Arabidopsis thaliana: one gene and its partner. The protein of the gene in region 2 interacts with the protein of the main gene of each other region in a pairwise test. Each region holds a gene or a part of one and is shown on either strand. Other genes may lie near its edges.

Region 1 (3,927 bases), on a different chromosome or scaffold from region 2:
GCTTGGGACTTTACCAGTCTGAGAAGATACAACAACACCTCTTATGTAATTAAAAGAAATCAACAAGATGGTTTACAGAAAAATTGAACAAAAGATGATGCTAATTACCTTGAGAAAATTAGCCACAATCAAAGCGGTTCGCTGTGGATTCAGTGTGTTGATTGGTACCCCTCGCATTTGTTCTACAACGCTATACACATGTACAACCGAAAGAATTGACCCAACCACCAACTGCAGATATCAGCCTTTTCATAATAGAGTTGCAATCCAAACAAATAGAAACTGCATTTTGAAATAGAGAGTAACGATGTAGCAGAATGACATTACCTTTCCCTCCATTGATGAACATATTGTGGACGCAAGTTGAATACCAGCACCTATCCCGGCAACATTGAAAAGAGTAGAGATAGCTTCTCCTTTTGCAAAAATGTCACTAAGATTTCCTTCTTTGGCAAAAGATGAATATATTGGTAATCTTGTTGCCCTTGCTGCAACTGTAGCCATTCCCTATTTAAAACAAACAATGCCAGAAAAGTATGAAAAACAGGAAACCAGTGAAGCTGATTGATGTATAAAAGGATGGTCTTTAGAAAGCTAATATATCTCATAGGTCTCCTATTGAAGCTGCTGAGGAAAGCAGGCACAGATGTTCTAAGAAAGATATCTATACCTTAGCAAAATTCCCCAGACCAGCCATTTCAAGAAACAGATGCGGGCATAATGGAGAAACGAGTTCCAGACCAGTACCAAGATCGTAAAGCACGTCAGCTGAAAATTATGAATCAATACTTTTTATAGTTAACGCTATAAAGACATCAGCAGAAACATGTAGCTACAGAATGGTGCATACCCAGAATCCTCCACCGTTTAGGCTCAGAGTCCATTCTTGCACCCAAATTGCTACATATTAGCTTTCCGACATGTTGCATCCCATCCTTCAATATCTACAGAACCAATAGAGTAAACAAAACTTTCACTTACGGACAGGGACTGAACAAGCAAACGAACAAACAAACTGAAGTGGTTTAACATACCCAGCTAACAACAGTTGCTTGTGCCGGTGTAGGCCGCAAGCCTGCAGCAAACAACAGTGACTGCAAAGGAATGATACAAAAAAAAGTTATGTGTCCATGTGAAAACCTCCATTACAACAGCTCAAGTAAACAAATGCAATTTTCCCAAAATCAATAATCAAAGCTGAATCATGAAGAAGACCTGAGTCGATAACACTGATAATGCTGCACTAGAGAAATGCTGAAGTGCTCGAAACTGTGTGTACCTAAGATATCCTTCGTTGACACTATAGAGAAGAAGTAAAGAAAGAAACTTGGTTAAAACACATGCTTTAAGGCTAAAGCCTAGAGACTCTCTAAAAACAAAAGTTCCAAACTTTGAGTTCACCTGTATGGATAACCAGAAGGAAAGAACTTGTTAAGGAAAGATTCAACCATCTTCTGAGGAACAGGTCTTGCATCATCAACAACTTTCATCTAAAACGTGATAATTCACATAATGATTCTACAAGTTGAGAGCAATGGCATAAGAGAGACAAGAACGAGGGAGAGGGAGATTTACAGAGAGGTGGCCGTCGGATTGGAACTGATAACGGTGAGAGACAGAATCAGAGGTTTCGAACCAGTAAACCGGAAAGTCTTCAGGGCTCTTCAACATTACTGGGTCTTCCTTCTTTATCAACTTCACCTTCTCCTGCTTCGTTCCCCAAGTTACAAAGTCATTCACTATAGTTTGGAGAATCATAAAATGAGATTAAAAATACAATAGAATAAAGATTGTGAAATCCTACAAGAAACTGCATCTCTGAGACACGATGGCACAGTCAGGTTCCGAACGTTAAGAGTCGCCGGAGTTGGAGTGAACCACCACAACAGTAATCGCCTAGAGCCGTCTAAAAACAAAATCAAAGAGATTATCTTAACAACGACGTCGTTTCTTCGTTCCTTTTCTACTTCTGAGGCCCAAATGATTTTTGTTACTATTCACTAATGGGCTTAATTAAGGCCCAATATTGATAGATACGCGGCGACTAGTTAAGGGGCAACAAATATGGCCCACTTAAAAAGAAACACGACTTTTCTTATCGCGTTGTTCTAACGCCACCGACCGAACACTTCTTTTTCTTCTGCAATAAACCAAAAAAAGTTAAAAATTCAAAAACTTAATTACTAAGCAAAAGTGTGCACGAAGAACAAAGCGACGCATCCGATTTTATTTGTTTGATAAGTTCGTGTCGTCTTCGTCTCTCTAACCCAATTCTGTGGTGTCTGAAGAAAGCAGAATCAAATCCATGTCTTTCAGAGGACTTAGCAGGGTAAAATTACAAAAAAAAACTTTTCTCTTCTTGCTTAAAATCGATGTACTCTTGTCTATGTCGCAAGCATCTTCAATGTTAAAAATTTGATTTTTATGAAGTCGATGTTAAAAAAAACTAAACCCATCTCCATTTTTACTCTTATTGAGGGTTTAAGATCACTAGATGAAGTCAATTCGATGAATTTTGGATTAAAAATCGAATCTTTTGGTATGGTTTTGATATGTGTTTTGGTTTTATATCTGTAGCCAAATGCAATATCTGGAATGGGTGTTGCAGATGAGAGCAAAACCACATTTCTAGAGCTTCAAAGGAAAAAAACTCATCGCTATGTGGTCTTCAAGATTGATGAATCCAAAAAAGAAGTTGTTGTTGAGAAAACTGGAAATCCTACAGAGAGCTACGATGATTTCTTAGCTTCACTTCCTGATAATGACTGCAGATACGCTGTTTATGACTTTGATTTCGTTACTTCTGAGAATTGTCAAAAGAGCAAAATCTTCTTCTTTGCTTGGTTAGTTTGATTTTTACCATTAGTAAGTCTATAAGGGTTTTGATGTGTTGAGACTAAAACATTTTGATTTGGGACTACTGATGTTGTAGGTCTCCTTCGACCTCTGGAATTCGAGCCAAGGTGCTTTACTCGACTTCTAAAGACCAGTTAAGTAGGGAGCTTCAAGGGATTCACTATGAGATTCAAGCTACTGATCCTACTGAGGTTGATCTTGAAGTGTTACGCGAACGAGCGAACTGAGAGCAAGCAAGATTGCTATGTCTATTCAAAACTTATGGTAATGTAATGAATAATTCGTATTCTCTGTGGATTGATTTGTGTAAACACAGTTTCATGTTCTATGTCAAACTGTATAACCTCTGGTGTTTCAGATTGCACAACCTAAAGCTTAGGTAAACTGAATATGGTTTAAGATCGTAAAAGGTTGATATATTAGTAATGTTAAGAGGGAGAAGAAACTTCTCTTTAGTAGATAACGAGAATGTTGATGAGCATGATGAGAGAGTTCTTAAACTAGTCTAGCAAATTCTGTATAAGCTCTTGTTGTAGCCATCTTGAATTCGAGTCTAATCCTTGCGAACAATATAGAAAGTGGTAGTGTGTAAAGTTTCCCTCATCATTTGTGGTTTCTTTTTCTCACTTTCTTCGGTGTAGTAAAATTTAAGTTGTATGTATAATAGTTCTATCATATACCTGCTTTCTAAAACAAAACAAAAAAAACCTCTTTCTTGTTTCCGCATATCCCCTTCCGATTCCATTGAGAGCAAAACCATTTTATGAGGTTGTATACTTAACCTACCATTCCTAATTCCTAATTGCTTAACTGTTACCAAACTGTGATGTCAAAAAGAAAAATGTTACCAAACTGGAGTCAAAATGACATAAATACCCTTGACCATTTGAGAAAAAATGTAAGGAATTAGGAGGTTGCAAGTGGGGTCCATTGCCGTTGTGGCCAAAAGCGAGATTGCATGACCCAACTGAAATCTCAATTAGGAAGGAGATTGCATTATTTTTATATGTTTATTTATCATATCTCATATTAAGGTCCATTTCCTTCAGTCTATTATCATCATGTATCCAC
Region 2 (3,927 bases):
TACGGTCAGCAATTCCTGGGAACATGGTGGAACCACCACTGAGAACGATGTTTCCATAGAGATCCTTCCTGATATCGACATCACATTTCATGATGGAGTTGTAAGTTGTTTCATGGATTCCAGGAGCTTCCATTCCGATGAGCGATGGCTGGAACAGAACCTCAGGACAACGGAATCTCTCAGCTCCGATGGTTATGACTTGTCCATCAGGTAGCTCGTAGTTCTTCTCCACTGAAGAACTGCTCTTGGCTGTCTCTAGCTCTTGCTCGTAGTCAAGAGCGACATAAGCAAGTTTCTCCTTTATGTCACGGACAATTTCCCGTTCTGCGGTAGTGGTGAACATGTAACCTCTCTCAGTGAGAATCTTCATGAGTGAGTCTGTGAGATCCCGACCCGCAAGATCAAGACGAAGGATAGCATGAGGAAGAGCATACCCCTCGTAGATTGGCACAGTGTGAGACACACCATCACCAGAATCGAGCACAATACCTGTTACAAAAAGAGAACGACTTTAAGTAAATACAAGTAAGAAGATAATATAACTCAGACTTGGATGTTTAGAGTTAAGAACTAACCGGTTGTACGACCACTGGCATAGAGAGAAAGAACGGCCTGAATGGCAACATACATGGCAGGGACATTGAATGTCTCAAACATGATCTGAGTCATCTTCTCCCTGTTAGCTTTAGGGTTAAGAGGTGCCTCTGTGAGTAGAACTGGGTGCTCCTCAGGGGCAACACGAAGCTCGTTGTAGAAAGTGTGATGCCATATCTTTTCCATGTCATCCCAGTTACTTACAATACCATGTTCGATTGGATACTTCAGAGTGAGGATACCTCTCTTGGACTGAGCTTCATCACCAACGTAAGCATCTTTCTGACCCATACCAACCATGACACCAGTGTGCCTAGGACGACCAACAATACTTGGGAACACTGCTCTCGGGGCATCATCACCAGCAAAACCAGCCTGTTAATATACAAAAATCATGATCAGTAGTCTTACACATGTACAACAAAGAAGGTTAGAACCATACAGTATCTAAATAAACAGTCTAACTCACCTTCACCATTCCAGTTCCATTGTCACAGACAAGTGGCTGAATATCCTCACCATCGGCCATTTTTCACTAAAAAAAAAGTAAAATGAAACCGAAATGAATTGGATAAGCTCATGAAGTAAACACGAATCAGATCACAACTTAGTTTCGAAGATTAGCAGCGTTTATTGAAACTCAAACATCGCTTCATATGTTGATTATTGAGAAAACTAGGTTCAAACTTCACAGATCTCAAAGAGAAAACACTAGAATTCACTTGTAAACATCAACACCTAACAGATCGAAGATTAAAACCAGATCAATCGAGCATACACGAAGTCATTTCGAACTAAACAACTTCACTTCACTGAAAAAAACAAAAATAACAGCGAGAGATCGACAGAAGCGAGAAGAATCCTCAAACTCCATAGATCTAACACATAAACCTTAAGAATTAGCTCAGATCGATCCAACAAGCACGGATCGAATCACATAACAAGCAACCCCCAAAACAAAGATTTTCTCATAAAACCACAACGCATGCTAAACAGATCTAGCGAAATCGGCATAGAGAATCAACAATAACGACTAACGAGCAGCAAAATCAAGCGAACGGATCTAGAGACTCACCTTGAAGAAGAAGAAGATGATACAGAAGATTCGAGAAGCAGCGAGAGAGAAAGATAGAGAAATGGAGGAGAAACAACAGCGGCAGCAGCTAACACTAAGGAAAGCGAAACGAGTACATGTGCGAATATATAGCTCTACGATTTTTCTCACTCTTTTATTTTTTTCTATTTCTTCTATTATTTCCCAAATAAAAAATCTGGGAGAGACAATGCTATGGTGACCTGGCTTTCACACTCTTTTTAGCTCACCGACGCGTCTATGTTGCCGTTAGATTGTTTTGAGTTTGATCTAAACCGTTGATTATGATTCGGTTCAAATGAATTAGCCCGGGAGCCGTGACTGATGGTTACGGCTAAAGTTAGGCTCGGCTTAGGATTTATCGGCTCGGCTTTTGTGGTTCGGACATCGTTCAAATTTTATTCTCGAAATAACAAAAAACTATTAATAGAAAAATAATAAAAACTAGAAGAGCAGACAAACGGACTGTGGTTTTTTTCTCGTGACTGTTTTTTTGAAAATCTATGGAGTTGTTTATTCTTGTGAATTTTTAATACGATTTCGTCTTTCATAATTCAAACTTCACACTTATAAATTAGTAAACATTTGACGGGTAGACTGTTGCAACCAAGGAGAATTGACGGAAATGGTCGTTTATTAGCAATTTAGAACAAAGATTGGCCAATTGTTGACTAGTCCATTTTAAGAGCTTCAAAACTCTCATTTTTATGAATTTTATATGTAGAAAAAGAAAAACACAGATTATCGATATGTTTTATAATTTATATAGATTAAATTGCATCATCACAAAATATAAAACAAATTAATCGTAAGGTGAATTTTTTGATAAATGTTTAAACACTATTGTCTAGATTTTATTGTGACAAAAAATAAAATAAAATAAAAATATATTAAATGATTGATCGGTTTTCGTGATATATCTTTTTATGTTATAAATGTTTTAATGAGTTAATTGAAAATTCCTGAAACCAAAATTCTAGACCAAAACCCGAATAGGAGCAAGATACATATCAACTACGATTTTGAGGAATGCACACTAAAAGACTAGGATCTTTGAAGCATTTTTTATAAGTCACCTTTGTGAGTGTTCTATATGAGACCCAATTCTAAGAAAATAATGTGTGTAAAGTGTATTGTTTATCTATAAATGGTATCATTATAAATTGGTTTAACTGGCTTGGAATATAACATTGATATAGTCTCACAACATGTTATATGTCCATTGATACTATTGATTAATTTGGTATATGTCCAAAACAAGTTACTTCCAATAATTCAAATATTAATCACCTTTTAGAATGATTAAAAGCTTTAACAATAATCTTTTTGAAATAAAGTTTCATATTCCTTGTTGGAAAGCATGTGCTAAGTTCTTACACTTTGTCTATAAAAGTTGGAAAGTGGTCTAGCTTGGTTGGCAACTTAAATAATCAAAATAGTTATGGGTACTCTTCTAATTTATCATTCACCTTTATTTTCTTAACATTTTTGTCCAATAACAACATTACCTATAAAAAAAAAAAAAGAGAGAGGTAAAAGGTAAATTCAAAGGGAAGCCAAATCCGTCATCATTTGTAGTTTGTATTCCAAGGAAAGATAAGTTGATTTGAGCCACCATGCTTCTCATTTCCACTTTACATTGATTGCAAATTTTGAATTTGCCTCTTATCGTATACACATGAAATTGTTCTGTGTATCATCAAATTGGGGAAATATAGATGAATTCCCAACGATAAAACGGGCCGAAAATCTTTAATGGACTGAAATAATAACAATAATATAGTTGGGCTGATTTGGCCCAATAGGAAACTTAAAGACCCAATGATGCAGTCATCTTCACTGATTATCGTTTGGGTCTGGTTTGTATATTTCAAGAAGACCAAGACCAACCAAGTGGTTTAAACAGAGAATAAAAGCTTTTGATGTTTTAGAACTTGGATTGGTTTCAAACTTTAAAATATCTCCACATTGAAAACAAGATGAAAATATTTTCACGGACTATCATATCAGTCTATTCCTCTCCAAACAAAAAAACTCTGTATCATTTAAATTCGATTCTTCCCTCCATCGGTCACACTTCTTATTGGGCTATATTGGGCCTATTAGAGTTAGTTTGATATATGTTGCTGTCTGCAGTTTCTCGTTTGCTCATTTGAGTCATTTCTTTGCCTATGGTTAAAAATCTTAGCTAAAATGATGATTTAACACACACATACAAACAAATAAGTTAGACAGTGTTT

What was found.
Region 1: the proteins of ACT7 (region 2) and ADF6 interact in a two-hybrid assay, tested with the Arabidopsis thaliana proteins (one large-scale study listed by BioGRID).

What each region holds. Positions count from the first base shown.
Region 1 is NC_003071.7:13,291,866-13,295,792, forward strand, and holds ADF6 (actin depolymerizing factor 6), read left to right. Parts: upstream 1-2,087; 5' UTR 2,088-2,305; coding exon 2,306-2,329; intron 2,330-2,577; coding exon 2,578-2,843; intron 2,844-2,932; coding exon 2,933-3,083; 3' UTR 3,084-3,545; downstream 3,546-3,927. Other genes in the region: RUS2 (root UVB sensitive protein (Protein of unknown function, DUF647)), read right to left, coding at 1-18, 109-231, 328-507, 671-768, 851-944, 1,035-1,094, 1,216-1,300, 1,402-1,490 and 2 more. UniProt on the Arabidopsis thaliana protein: Actin-depolymerizing protein. Severs actin filaments (F-actin) and binds to actin monomers.
Region 2 is NC_003076.8:3,050,005-3,053,931, reverse strand, and holds the start of ACT7 (actin 7), read right to left. Parts: upstream 1,871-3,927; 5' UTR 1,670-1,870; intron 1,130-1,669; 5' UTR 1,124-1,129; coding exon 1,064-1,123; intron 970-1,063; coding exon 576-969; intron 490-575; coding exon 1-489. UniProt on the Arabidopsis thaliana protein: Actins are highly conserved proteins that are involved in various types of cell motility and are ubiquitously expressed in all eukaryotic cells.